Rhinolophus ferrumequinum: one gene and its partners. The protein of the gene in region 1 interacts with the protein of each later gene in a biochemical or structural test. Links are inferred from orthologs where the notes say so. Each region holds a gene or a part of one and is shown in the gene's direction. Other genes may lie near its edges.

The links.
Region 2: of the proteins of CDK7 (region 1) and GTF2E1, one has a biochemical effect on the other in vitro, tested with the Homo sapiens proteins (3 studies listed by BioGRID, with this or other methods). The link is inferred for Rhinolophus ferrumequinum from reciprocal best matches to the Homo sapiens genes CDK7 and GTF2E1.
Region 3: the proteins of CDK7 (region 1) and GTF2H3 form a complex in vitro, tested with the Homo sapiens proteins (2 studies listed by BioGRID). The link is inferred for Rhinolophus ferrumequinum from reciprocal best matches to the Homo sapiens genes CDK7 and GTF2H3.

Annotation. Positions count from the first base shown.
Region 1 is NC_046290.1:44,758,164-44,761,913, forward strand, and holds the start of CDK7 (cyclin-dependent kinase 7), read left to right. Parts: upstream 1-920; 5' UTR 921-1,037; coding exon 1,038-1,103; intron 1,104-1,155; exon of another isoform or gene 1,156-1,274; coding exon of another isoform or gene 1,275-1,313; intron 1,314-1,437; coding exon 1,438-1,497; intron 1,498-3,750. UniProt on the Homo sapiens protein: Serine/threonine kinase involved in cell cycle control and in RNA polymerase II-mediated RNA transcription. Cyclin-dependent kinases (CDKs) are activated by the binding to a cyclin and mediate the progression through the cell cycle.
Region 2 is NC_046285.1:46,089,635-46,093,384, forward strand, and holds the start of GTF2E1 (general transcription factor IIE subunit 1), read left to right. Parts: upstream 1-1,236; 5' UTR 1,237-1,365; intron 1,366-1,374; exon of another isoform or gene 1,375-1,723; intron 1,724-1,746; exon of another isoform or gene 1,747-3,028; intron 3,029-3,068; exon of another isoform or gene 3,069-3,750. Other genes in the region: RABL3 (rab-like protein 3), read right to left, coding at 1,034-1,079.
Region 3 is NC_046308.1:4,295,586-4,299,335, reverse strand, and holds the start of GTF2H3 (general transcription factor IIH subunit 3), read left to right. Parts: upstream 1-952; 5' UTR 953-1,028; coding exon 1,029-1,041; intron 1,042-3,282; coding exon 3,283-3,362; intron 3,363-3,750. Other genes in the region: EIF2B1 (translation initiation factor eIF-2B subunit alpha), read right to left, coding at 758-770. UniProt on the Homo sapiens protein: Component of the general transcription and DNA repair factor IIH (TFIIH) core complex, which is involved in general and transcription-coupled nucleotide excision repair (NER) of damaged DNA and, when complexed to CAK, in RNA transcription by RNA polymerase II.

The DNA of each region.
Region 1 (3,750 bases):
CTTTTCAGTGATGTCTTCCTTGGCTCACCCTATTTAAAACTGCAAACCCTAGTATCTTCTCTTCCCCTGCTTTATTATCTCTATAGCACGTATCGCTATGATCATAACATTTTACTTATTTGTTATGTACTCTTGTTTGAATGCAGGAATCTCTTTTTTCCTGCTGATTTCTCAGTATACAACAAAGTGGCACATAGTAAGCAATCAATAAATACTGAATAAATGAATTGTGTTTGATTTGGATGCAAATCTTATGAGAATCAAAATTTGAGAACTGATCACTGTTAACACTTAATAAGCACTTACTATATATCCAAACTCTGCATGTCTCATTTAAGCCTCACAACAGCCTATGATGTATGTGGTCTATTATTATTTCCACGTTACAGAGTAAAAAACTGATGACCAGAAGTCTGTTCCACAGCACAAAACTCTAAAGTTGACTTGGATTTTGTTTGCCTAGGCGTGCTTTTTCATAAAGAGACTAGACTAAGAGACTAGACTAAGTAAGAATGCCTCTTGAGCAGCTCTTAACAACTGGGCGCGCTCTAAGTAACCTGAGATTGCCGGGCTAGGCGTCCATAGTAACGGTGCGACAGAACCCTTTAGCGTGAACCAGACAGAGAAATCAGGTGGACCAACCCTATCATACTCATACATACCTATCAAATCCCGAACTCAGAACATCATAGAACGCTGACCGGTCCCCGGTAGTGAAGAAAATACATAAGTTAAAACGGTAAAAAAGTGACACAGGTTAACCACCATCGAAAACTCCCCACTTCCGGTACCAACGGGCGATCACGTGACAGGGCGGGGAGCGGCGCGGAAAAGCCAACGATCCCTGCCTTCCATTGGGTGGGCTCGGGCGGGACTTATTTAATAGCAGCCACGCCTATCCCGGAAGTGGGGGCGGAGCTAACAAAGCGTCGGAGCCTAGTGAACGGAAGTGACTGTTGGAGGCTTTAAGGTAGCTTTAAATTCCTGCTGTTTTGGGCGCTCGCCCTTTTCAGCTGGAGTCGGGATTCGCGTGACAGATGGCTGTGGACGTGAAGTCGCGAGCAAAGCGTTACGAAAAATTGGACTTCCTCGGGGAGGGCCAGGTGAGGCTATCGGGGACTCGGCGGTGCTGAGCGGAGACCACGGAGCCGCCTCACACCTTCACAGGTTTTCTCTGGCCTGGCTACTCGTTCTCTTTGGCCAAGGCTGCCCAGAGGCAGCTGTTGCCCCTCCATACCCTGGAGATGAGCCCTGAGCGGCCTTCTCCTTTCTGAATGATAGAGAGGAACGGGACGTGGACAGAACAACTGCCTGTACGTTTCAAGCCGCCGAAAGTCCGCTGCAAGAACCCTGGGTTCTTTGCTTCCCAAAATCTAAAGTAAAAAGGCAAACACGAAAAATTGCCACAAACTTACGTTATTTCTCTTTTTTCTCCAGTTTGCCACGGTTTACAAGGCCAGAGACAAGAACACCAACCAAATAGTCGCCATTAAGAAAGTGAGTTACAGGGTTTGGTTTTTTTTATTTGAGTCTCTTAAGAAGTAGATGTGTGCGCTGGTGGATGGCCGTTTTACTAATCTTGACCATGTTCTACTAATGAATTACTTATGTCATTTTCATAGGAAGAATAATTTATTAGTGTCCTGTGTTCCAAAATGGAGCTCGAATTGAACTATTCTTTTCTATTAATTGAAATGAAAAGGAAACAGTATGTTATGTTTGCTTTATTCGACTCAGTCTTTGGCAAAGGGGATGAGTACTGCCAATCTGCTGGGTCCTCAAACTATTTAATATCATGATCTTCCCTATTTCTGCCTCACCTGCATCCACTCTATGTATCTGTCATATCTGTATTTTCTGTGTACAGATTTATCATGAAAGGCTTTCACCAACATGAACAACATTGATGTGCATGCATTTTTAAAAATGATTTAAGTAGCTTTTTTATTTGCATTCATTCAAGAAACTTAGGCCGTATTTAGCTAACTTTATGTGCCAGGCACTTTCACCTACATTTTTTCATTTAACCCTCAAAACAGCCTTGCGGAAATAGGTAAAGTAAATGTCTCTGTTTTACACTTCAGGTACCTGAGGCTGAGAGAGGACTGTGTTTCCCCGAAAATAAGACCTAGCCGGACCATCAGCTCTACCGCGTCTTTTGGAGCAAAAATTAATGTAAGACCCAGTATTATGTTATATTGTATTATATTATACCCGGTCTTATACCGGGTCTTATATTAATTTTTGCTCACAAAGACTCATTAGAGCTGAAGGTCTTATTTTCGGGAAAAAACGGTAGGTGACTTTCAAGATGATACAGATGGTTAGTAATTGTTAAAGCTAGGATTTAAGTCCTGCTGCCAGGTTGATTGCCCTTTCCCATACTACAAAAATCAATAACCCGGGCCAGCCCGGTGGCTCAGGCGGTTGGAACTCTGTGCTCCTAAAGCCAAAGGCTGCCGGTTCGATTCCCACATGGGCCAGTGGGCTCTCAACCACAAGGTTGCCAGTTCAACTGCTGGACTCCCACAGGGGATGGTGGTCTCTGCCCCCTGCAACTAACTACAGCAACTGGACCTGGTGCTGAACTTCGCCCTCTACAACTAAGATTGAAAGGACAATAACTTGACTTGGAGAAAGTCCTGGAAGTACACAATGTTCCCCAATAAAGTCCTGTTCCCCTTCCCCAATAAAATCTTAAAAAAAAAAAAAAAAAAAAAATCAATAACCCTCTCAAGGAAAGGCTGTTTTTCTCACATCTCAAGGCCTATTGGTGAAGTAGGGGACTTCCACCTTTGTATTGCTACTTTGTTCCTGTTGCTACTTTGAATCTGTTTCTTCTTCAAAATCCCTAACTCCTTTGAAGCATATCTACCTCATTCATTTAACACTAATACCCTCTCTTCCTTGGCACAATTATTCCTGCCATTATCATCTTCTTTACTTTTCCTGACTTACCTCGTTTTCCATTTTATGTTCTGTAACCCAGCACTATAGCTACTCCTTTGTAAAACCCTTAATTCTCCCCACAGTTTTTATTTCTCTCTTTTTTAAATCTCCCAACCCTTTCTAAAGTTATCTTTTCAGTTCTATTCCCGGTAGGCTGTATTCTAGCCAACTGACCTTTTTGTTTCTTGAACACTTTAAATTCATTCCAATTCCAGGATCATTGCATTTGCTCTGCCTTCTGGCTAATACATTTTTCCTCTAAAACTTGGCATGGCTGATTCCTTATTTAGATTTCACTCAAATATCTCCTCCACCTAGAAGCTTTTGCTGCTCACTCTAGCTAAAAGAGGCATGCCTCCATCCTTCCCTAGGGTTCTTTGCCATATTTCTCTATCTTCATAGCATTTATCAAAATCTGAAATCCTCTTATTTATACATTTATTGTTTGTTTACTTCCATTCGAATTATCTTTAGAACTATGGCTAGTACATTTGTAGACACTCATTAGAAATGTATTGACTTCACTGAAGGATATAATCTTTTCAAACTGTTGGCATATTGAGTTTTACCAGTTGTCTCAAAGTCCTAGTGGGTTTTGTTTGCTTGCTTGCTTGCTTTAAACATAAATTAGGATAGAATCCATCCTGTTTCTCTGGACTAGACTTTTACTCCTTGAAGGTGACTCAGTGAAACCCAAGATTCCTGATTGAATGTATGGTTTTGATTTAATATGTAGCCCCGGCACTCTATTCGGTTTCTTCATAGCATGTCCTGTAAGCCGTAGCCCTTTCCCTTACTAGT
Region 2 (3,750 bases), on another chromosome or scaffold:
CAACCTCCTCCTCAATCAGACAATGTTCTTTAGTGCCGTAAAGGTAGTTTTCAAGCTCTGGGGTAAGTGCTCTCTATCTCTAAGCATCTGGCACAATGTCTTTGCTCACAACACACTTTCAAAGGTCAACTCCAGAAAAGCACATCTATGAACTGAAAGGTTAGCATTTATTCCAAGTTCTAAAGGAGCACAGGAGTGGAGGCTATGGTGAGAAAGGATAGTAAGGTGAGAAGAGGGAATGCAGAATTCAATTCTAGTTCTCAAATGTCCAAGGTGTCAAAAGAAGAATTTTAACATTAGGACAAAACTGGGCTCAGCATTAAGTCCTAGCTACTACATAATATGGCCCTTACCTTAATGTCTCTATTTCTTACAATCTAGCACCTAACAGGTTTTCAATTAACATCAAAGAGAACAAAGAAATCAAGAAGCCCAGTAGAGAGTAAAACAGGACTACCACTCGATATTTCATTTCATAATATAGTTTAGTGTTTAAGTACGTGGCCTCTGGGTTCAAACCGGTTCTGTCATTTATATCTCTCTGCTTCACTTTTTGTCATCTGTGAAATGGTGTGATAGGGTTGATCTCGGGATTAAGTGAGTTAATATATGCAAAGCACTTAGAAGAGTCTTTTTTTTTTTTAAGTGCACGTTTGACTTCCTTAATAAACAAACTCTTGAAGGCACAGTCCTAACTTCTGTCTTAGCCCGGCGCCCAATACAATGCTCAATGTCTGCATATCTTTTAAATAAAAGGAACTGACAATATACACTAGGCTACGATCGCCCAGGAGATTGACGTTGAAAGACGCGAAGGCCGAGAAGGGCCGGGACTCCACGACCCCCATCCGCGCGACGCCACCGCTCCGTCAAACAGAGCAAAGTCCTCTGGGAAGTGTAGTCATTACGCCTTGGGAGGGATTTCAGCCACGGATCGGAGTCAGTTAGTTTGCGGGGCGGGGGGGAAGGGGAGTAGTAGTTATCGGATAACTCAAAAGTGTCGGGAGCCCCAGAGGTGGGTTAAGCAGCTCACCTGAGTCTCCCAACACCAGTACTTTCACCCGATCCAGGGACGCCATCTTGCCATTGCCTTCCTGGGGTTAATACCAGTTCCGGGTTGTAGGCCAATCAGAGCTGGGCATGGAGGGCCGAGCCCTCAATTTCATTGACCAATCAGAGAATGACCATCTTGATTGAAGGCTTCACTGTGCTGATTGGCCGGCCTGGTTAAAAGAAGCGGGTGGTTTCCAAAGCTGGTCGCAGGAATAAAGCGTTTTCTTTGTCGCTCGAGTGGCGTGACACGTTTAAGCCGGTAGTTGAGGCGCTGAGGGAAGCTGTAGTGGGAGTGTTCGAGGATTCGCTTTGGTAAACCTTGTTCCCTGTTTCTTGTTCTCGGTTCCCTGGCCCGGAGTCGCATTTCAGGGTTTCTCTTCCTTTTCGCTCCTGGCCCTTAGCCACCCTCCTCCCCTTAGCTACTCTCTTGACTTGGTCCTCCAAAGAACCATTGACCCCGGAGCGTCCCGTGTGCGACCTCGGGTAGGACGGGCTTGGCTGCGCCGAGTGTGGCCCCTGGACTCAGCTGGCAGAGTCCGAGGAAATGTGGGGTCTCGCAGTGGGGAGGAGCGCACGTTATTGAACCCGGCTCGTGGAGGGCCGCTGGGTCCAGAGTTCGCGGTGGTATGCAGCTGTATATTTGAAGGCGTGGAGAGTACCATGCAATATGGTAACTGAGAAAACCATTTAAATGTGTAGGATCCAAGTTATTCCACAACTGGAGTAGTAGTATGCTGAAAAAAATCTAACTGGACCTACCCCCCCCATCCTATCCTTTCTCCTTTTATTTTACACTCTGCAGTCAGCATAATCTCTTAAAATTGCGAATTTGATCCTGTTACCTGCTGCTTAAAACCATTTAAAGTTTAAGAAGAGGGTTTCCAGTAGCTTTTTCTAACTCTGGAAGCAGCAGTGGAGGAAGTAAATTGGGGGGAAGCTGTCCGGGTGGGCATGTTGGAAGAACGCGTGCTTAGGACATCTATTGAAAGTTTTATGGAAGTAATTTGACTAGCTGTGCTGGATGCTGGAAAGTCAGTGGTGAACAAGATTGAGTTCCTGGTCTCAGAAATAATCGGAGAATTACAAGGTTATTCACTGTAACGAAGAAGGTTGGGAAAGAGCTATGGGAACTTGTGAAAGGGGTTAATACTAAGCTACTAAGGCGTATCTGGGAAGGTCTCTTTGAGGAACTGTCACTTGAGCTGTGGAGGATTATTAGGAGAAGAAAGTTTAGGCAGAGAGAACAGCATGTGCAAAGGCCGAAAGTGGGGAAGGCGTGTGTGGCACGTGGAATTGAGATGACGCTGACAAGGGTAGACAGAGAATGCATTCATTTAAATTTTGTTTCTGCAACTGTGCTTGGTACACAGTAGTTCTTCAGTGATTGTATGATTAGAATATATATGATTTAAAAACAAAAGCAACTTGTCTTTGGGGGTCTGTGCTGGGTAGGGAGGTATGTAAGACTGCGAGGTGACTGAACCTCAGGCTAAAGATGGAAAAAAGGCTTCCCCTAAGAGGTCACGCACTTAAAACTTTCTAGAGGCTAGCCAAGTGACAGCTGCTTTTCAGCTGCAAGTTATCGTTTCCATGTGGGAACATGGTCTCACTTTTCCTCAGATAGTTCCAATTTTCAAGAGGAGCTGAAAATTGAGATTTATGTGAGATCCCACTATTTTAAAATGTTGACGACTGATTCAGAAAATTTTCAACAGTCTTTGGGTCAGACAGTATAGCAGAGGCTGCCAGTTAGAGACCTCTGACCTAAGTAATTTAAGGAATCCAGAGATTGAGTAGGAGGTTTAGCATATGTGGGGAAGTACAAGTGATGGAAGAGAGAAGGTATTGGTCAGGGAGGATTTTACAATGTAGAGATTTTGAACAAGATGACTTCTTTCCTGAGCTTCAATTTCATTTGTGCAGCTACCTACTGGATGGACATCTTCACAGGACTATTCCATGGTATTTCCTCAAAGTAGGCAACTAAAAGTGAATCCCTCAATTCCTTCCAAACCTGTTCCTATTCAGGCGTTAACCTATTTTTCATAGTAGTAGTTTTCCTAGTTACACTGGCTTAAAACAAATAGCTATATGTTATTGTTTAATAAAATATTGTTTGATGGTATAGTGTTTCAGTTTTATAAGATGAAATATATGGAGATGGATGGCGGTGATAGTTACACAGTAATATGAATGTATAATATCACTGAACCGTATGCTTAAAATGGTTAATTGGTAAATTTTATGTGTAGTTAACCACAATAAAACTATTATTAAAAAGCAAATATTTAAAATTTTTCTTCCCTCTTACTCCATTTCCAGTATATTACTAGATCCTCATTTTGATTTTGTTTCTGTAATAAGTTTCATTCCTGAAATTTTTTTGCTGTCTTTCTTAGTTCAGGTTTGATTATAACAGCTCCTAGTCCTTCCTTAATCCTCCATCTTCACTTACCTCAGGCCATTCCTCGTATTATTGTCACTTTTCTGCATAGGGGCTCTTATTATGAATGCCAGTACTTAATGGAACTCTTATGATGTTAGCCTTGAAAGCAGCATACTATACATGAATTATCTCATTTAATCCACACATCAATTCTATGAGGAAGGCACTGTTAATCACTTTTCACATATGAGGAAACTGAGACTGAGGATTTTCCAGGGTCACAGGCTGGCTAAGAAATGGGGGAACTGGGA
Region 3 (3,750 bases), on another chromosome or scaffold:
CATCAAATTTGTTTATCAGGATCTAAGGCCGGAGAACTTGTCAATAACTGTTGACCTTAAGAAGCAACATAATTTAAAAACTACTTTTCATGTGTTTGGCTTTCAGGGGAATGATAAATGTTGATGGGACTAGAGATGACAGCTACTGAATGATAGTGAAAGGTCATTCTCCCTCTTATCCTTGACCCCAAGTTCTGAGAGAATTCCAGAGTCAACCATCTTATCAATTTCTCCTGTACCCCTGCGGGCAGTCTATGCTAAGTCAAGCCTGTTCACATATAAACTTATTTACGTGTATGTAGAGGTCAATCCCCTTTTATCTTTTTAACATGAAAGTTTGCCCTTGTATTTCACTTAATAAAACACTTCGATCACCACACTAGATGACCACATCAAACACGGCTTATTCTCTCGATTCTAGTACCAGATCCAACAGAGCAGGGAGTCTTATTCCTATCCCACATATGGGGAAATCAAGACTGCGAAGACCTGACACTTCGTCTAAAGTCTTACTTTTTTGGACGAGGGCAGTGGAAAGAAGCGTGTGGAGAGGGGGTGTCTGCAGATGCTCTCAGAGACCATCCCCTGGATACCGGAGCAGCGAGAAAGATTAGTTGTGACTAGAGGAACCACATCCAGCAGAGCAACCTAAGTTTGGAAAGTGACCTCTCCCTGAGCCCAGCCTGTGTGTGCGAGGTGGAGGGACCCCTGAGCGGCTCCGCTTTGGTCCTAGCAGGCCCATCCCCTCCCGATTTACCCTTGTCGTCCATGGTGCCCTCCGGACCGCAGAGCCCGAGGGGCCCGGAGCCGCTCGCGCTACCTGCACGAGTCGGGTGACCGCGCGGGCTCCGAGCCACAGAGACTGACAGCGCGCGGCGCGGCTCCGCACTCCACTTCCGGCGCTTTGGGGGCGGGGCCTCGGTCAAACCGCCTCTGACGTCATTTGACAGCGCCGGAAGTTGGAGAGCGCCACATCCGGGATGCTCTTCTGATTGCTCTTGGCCCTGCGCTGAGGAACCCGGGCAGCCATGGTCTCAGACGGTGAGGGCCGCGCCGGGTGGGACCCATACCCCGGGGCTGGACCAACTAGGCCCGGCCAGGCCCGGCCAAATGGATTATATGGTTTGGGTTGGATGTAACCTGTTTGGTCTTTAGAGGAGTAACGAATGTATTCATTCATTCGTTCAGTAAATATTTTTGGATCACCTCCTTTGTGCCAGGCGTTATTTGTTGTATGTGCTGGGGAATGCAGCAGAGTACGTGACGGGCCCTCGTGGAGGTTGCAGTCTAGTGGGTGAGACAGACAATAGGCAAATACATAAAAATTTCGAAGGGGAACAGAGCTATGAAAACAATATAGTGGAATGATGTGGTAGATAGATTAAGAGTTGATTCAGGAAGGAGCTACTTTCGATAGTTGTCCAGGGAAGACCAGTGATATTGAAACTGAGCCATATGACTGCAAAGACCCCTGGCAAGTTGAGCCACTACTTTACAATGAGAAGACAGAAAAGGGGACCCTGGGGAAGGAGGAAGGTGGAGAGACTTTCATTCATATATCATCCTACCAGTTTCAGAGCCTGATGTCTTAAGGGAAGAAAAAAGAGACCAGGGTGGCCCGAGCCAGGTGGGCTAGAGGGATAAGATCAGAGGGTAGCCAGGTGCAGAGCCCTTGAGGGCCATGATAAAGAGCTTGAGCTTTACTTTTAAGTGTAATACAAAGCCTTTTTAGGGTTTTAACAAGGAAGTATTATGATCTAACATAAAATTGTAAAGATTTGTCTGCTCTATGGAAAATGGACGGTGGGAAACAGGAATAGAAATAGATCTATTTGGAGGCTGTGATTGTCCATGCTTGCTTTATCTGTTTTAATCCATACCACAACCCTGTGAGGGAGGCAGAGCTGGCAAGGCCCCTGTCTACCAATGAGGAGGCAGAGAACCAAAGAAGGACATTCACAGGGCATTGCATGTGTGTGAATACACACCTTTCATTCTTTCATCAGGCTTCTGGGTTTTTCCCCCCTTTTTTTAAATTAAAGTTTATTGGGGTGACAATTGTTAGTAAAGTTACATAGATTTCAGGTGTACAATTCTGTAATACATCATCTATAAATCCCATTGTGTGGTTCACCAACCAGAGTCAGTTCTCCTTCCATCACCATATGTTTGTTCCCCTTTACCCTTATCTACGAGCTCCCTCCCCCCTTACCTTTGGTAACCACTAAACTAGTGTCTGTGTCTGTGAGTTTTTGTTTCTCATTTGTTTGTCTTGTTCTTTTGTTGCTTTTGGTTTATATACCACATATCAGTGAAATCATCAGGCTTCTTAATAGTAGCAAGGAATGGATGGCCCGAGAATTGTGGGGTGGGGCCTGATGGGGAATAAGACCAAAGGCTTAAGGACTTATGGGTAGGGGAGTGAGGGCCTATGGGAGACACAGTCTTTAAGTGCTGCTTCTGTGCTAGGCCCTTTGTTGTGTGATTTACATGTGTTCTTTCATCCCAGGATTAGGATCCTGGGTTTTTCATAACAGTATGTGCTTCTGGGTTTGTATATGTGTTACCTCAATAAGAGTGTAGGCTCCTTGAAGGCGTGCACATGGTATGCGCAACACCTAACACCGGTACTTAGTGTGTTGAGTGAATTAACGTGTTGAGTTAGCCTGTTTAGTTATATCTGTGTTTGGAGAGCAGCCTAATTCCTTTCACAGTAAAATAGTCTTTACACAGGAATTGGTTTTCCCTCTTTGGTTTTCACCTCTTTAAAAATTGATTCCTAATCATAGCTGGCCTTGCTGCTAGGTCATTTGATGGATTCGGGACCAAATCGATTCCTGTATTCCCTGTAGCCTCCCACCCCTCTGCCGGAAATTCTACTACTAGTGGTTCTTACAACTGGTTATTCAGTGCCTTCTATGGTTGACCAGGCAAATATCTTTGGGTTCATTTAATAGATATTTATTCAGCATCCTCTTATGGCTAGGCTATATTCTAGGAATAGGGGATAAGCAGTGACAAAATAGACAAAAAATCCCTCTTCATGGAGCTTACATTCTAGTGATGAAAGATGCAGTGGTACAAAAAGCAGGCAAAAGCTTGCTAAGGACCCACAGAGCTTTAAATCTTTAAAAGAACTTTGCCTTTTGTTAATCTTGTGCTTGTAGGATTAGAAACATGTAAAGGCTTGTAGTGGTGTTTGCTCTGGATTTAATTTACTGATTGAGAATGTCGGCTTTGATCCACGAGGCTAATACTTTTTATTTTTCTTAATATTTTCAGAAGATGAGTTGAATCTTCTAGTTATCATCGTTGATACCAATCCAATTTGGTGGGGAAAGCAAGCATTAAAGCAATCTCAGGTAAGATTGCTTGAGGAGGCTTTTGGATGATTCTGGTAAAACAGTATATGTTTATATTGATTTTTTAAAAACAGCTTTAGTAAGGTATAATTTGCATACCATCATAATGTGCGATTCAATGATTTTTTAGTAAAAACCACAATAAAGTTGTGTAACCATCACCACAATTCTGTTTTAGAACATTTTTATCACCCCAAAAAGTTCCCTCATGCCTATTTATAGTCAGTCGCTGCTTGCACCACCTGTTGCAGACAACCACTCTGTCTCTGTATTGCCTTTTCTGGACATTTCAGAATGATTCCTTGCATATATGGTCTCTAAACAAAAACTTCCTATTTCGAAATATTTTATTTTGAAATAATTACAGACTCACAGGAAATGATACAAA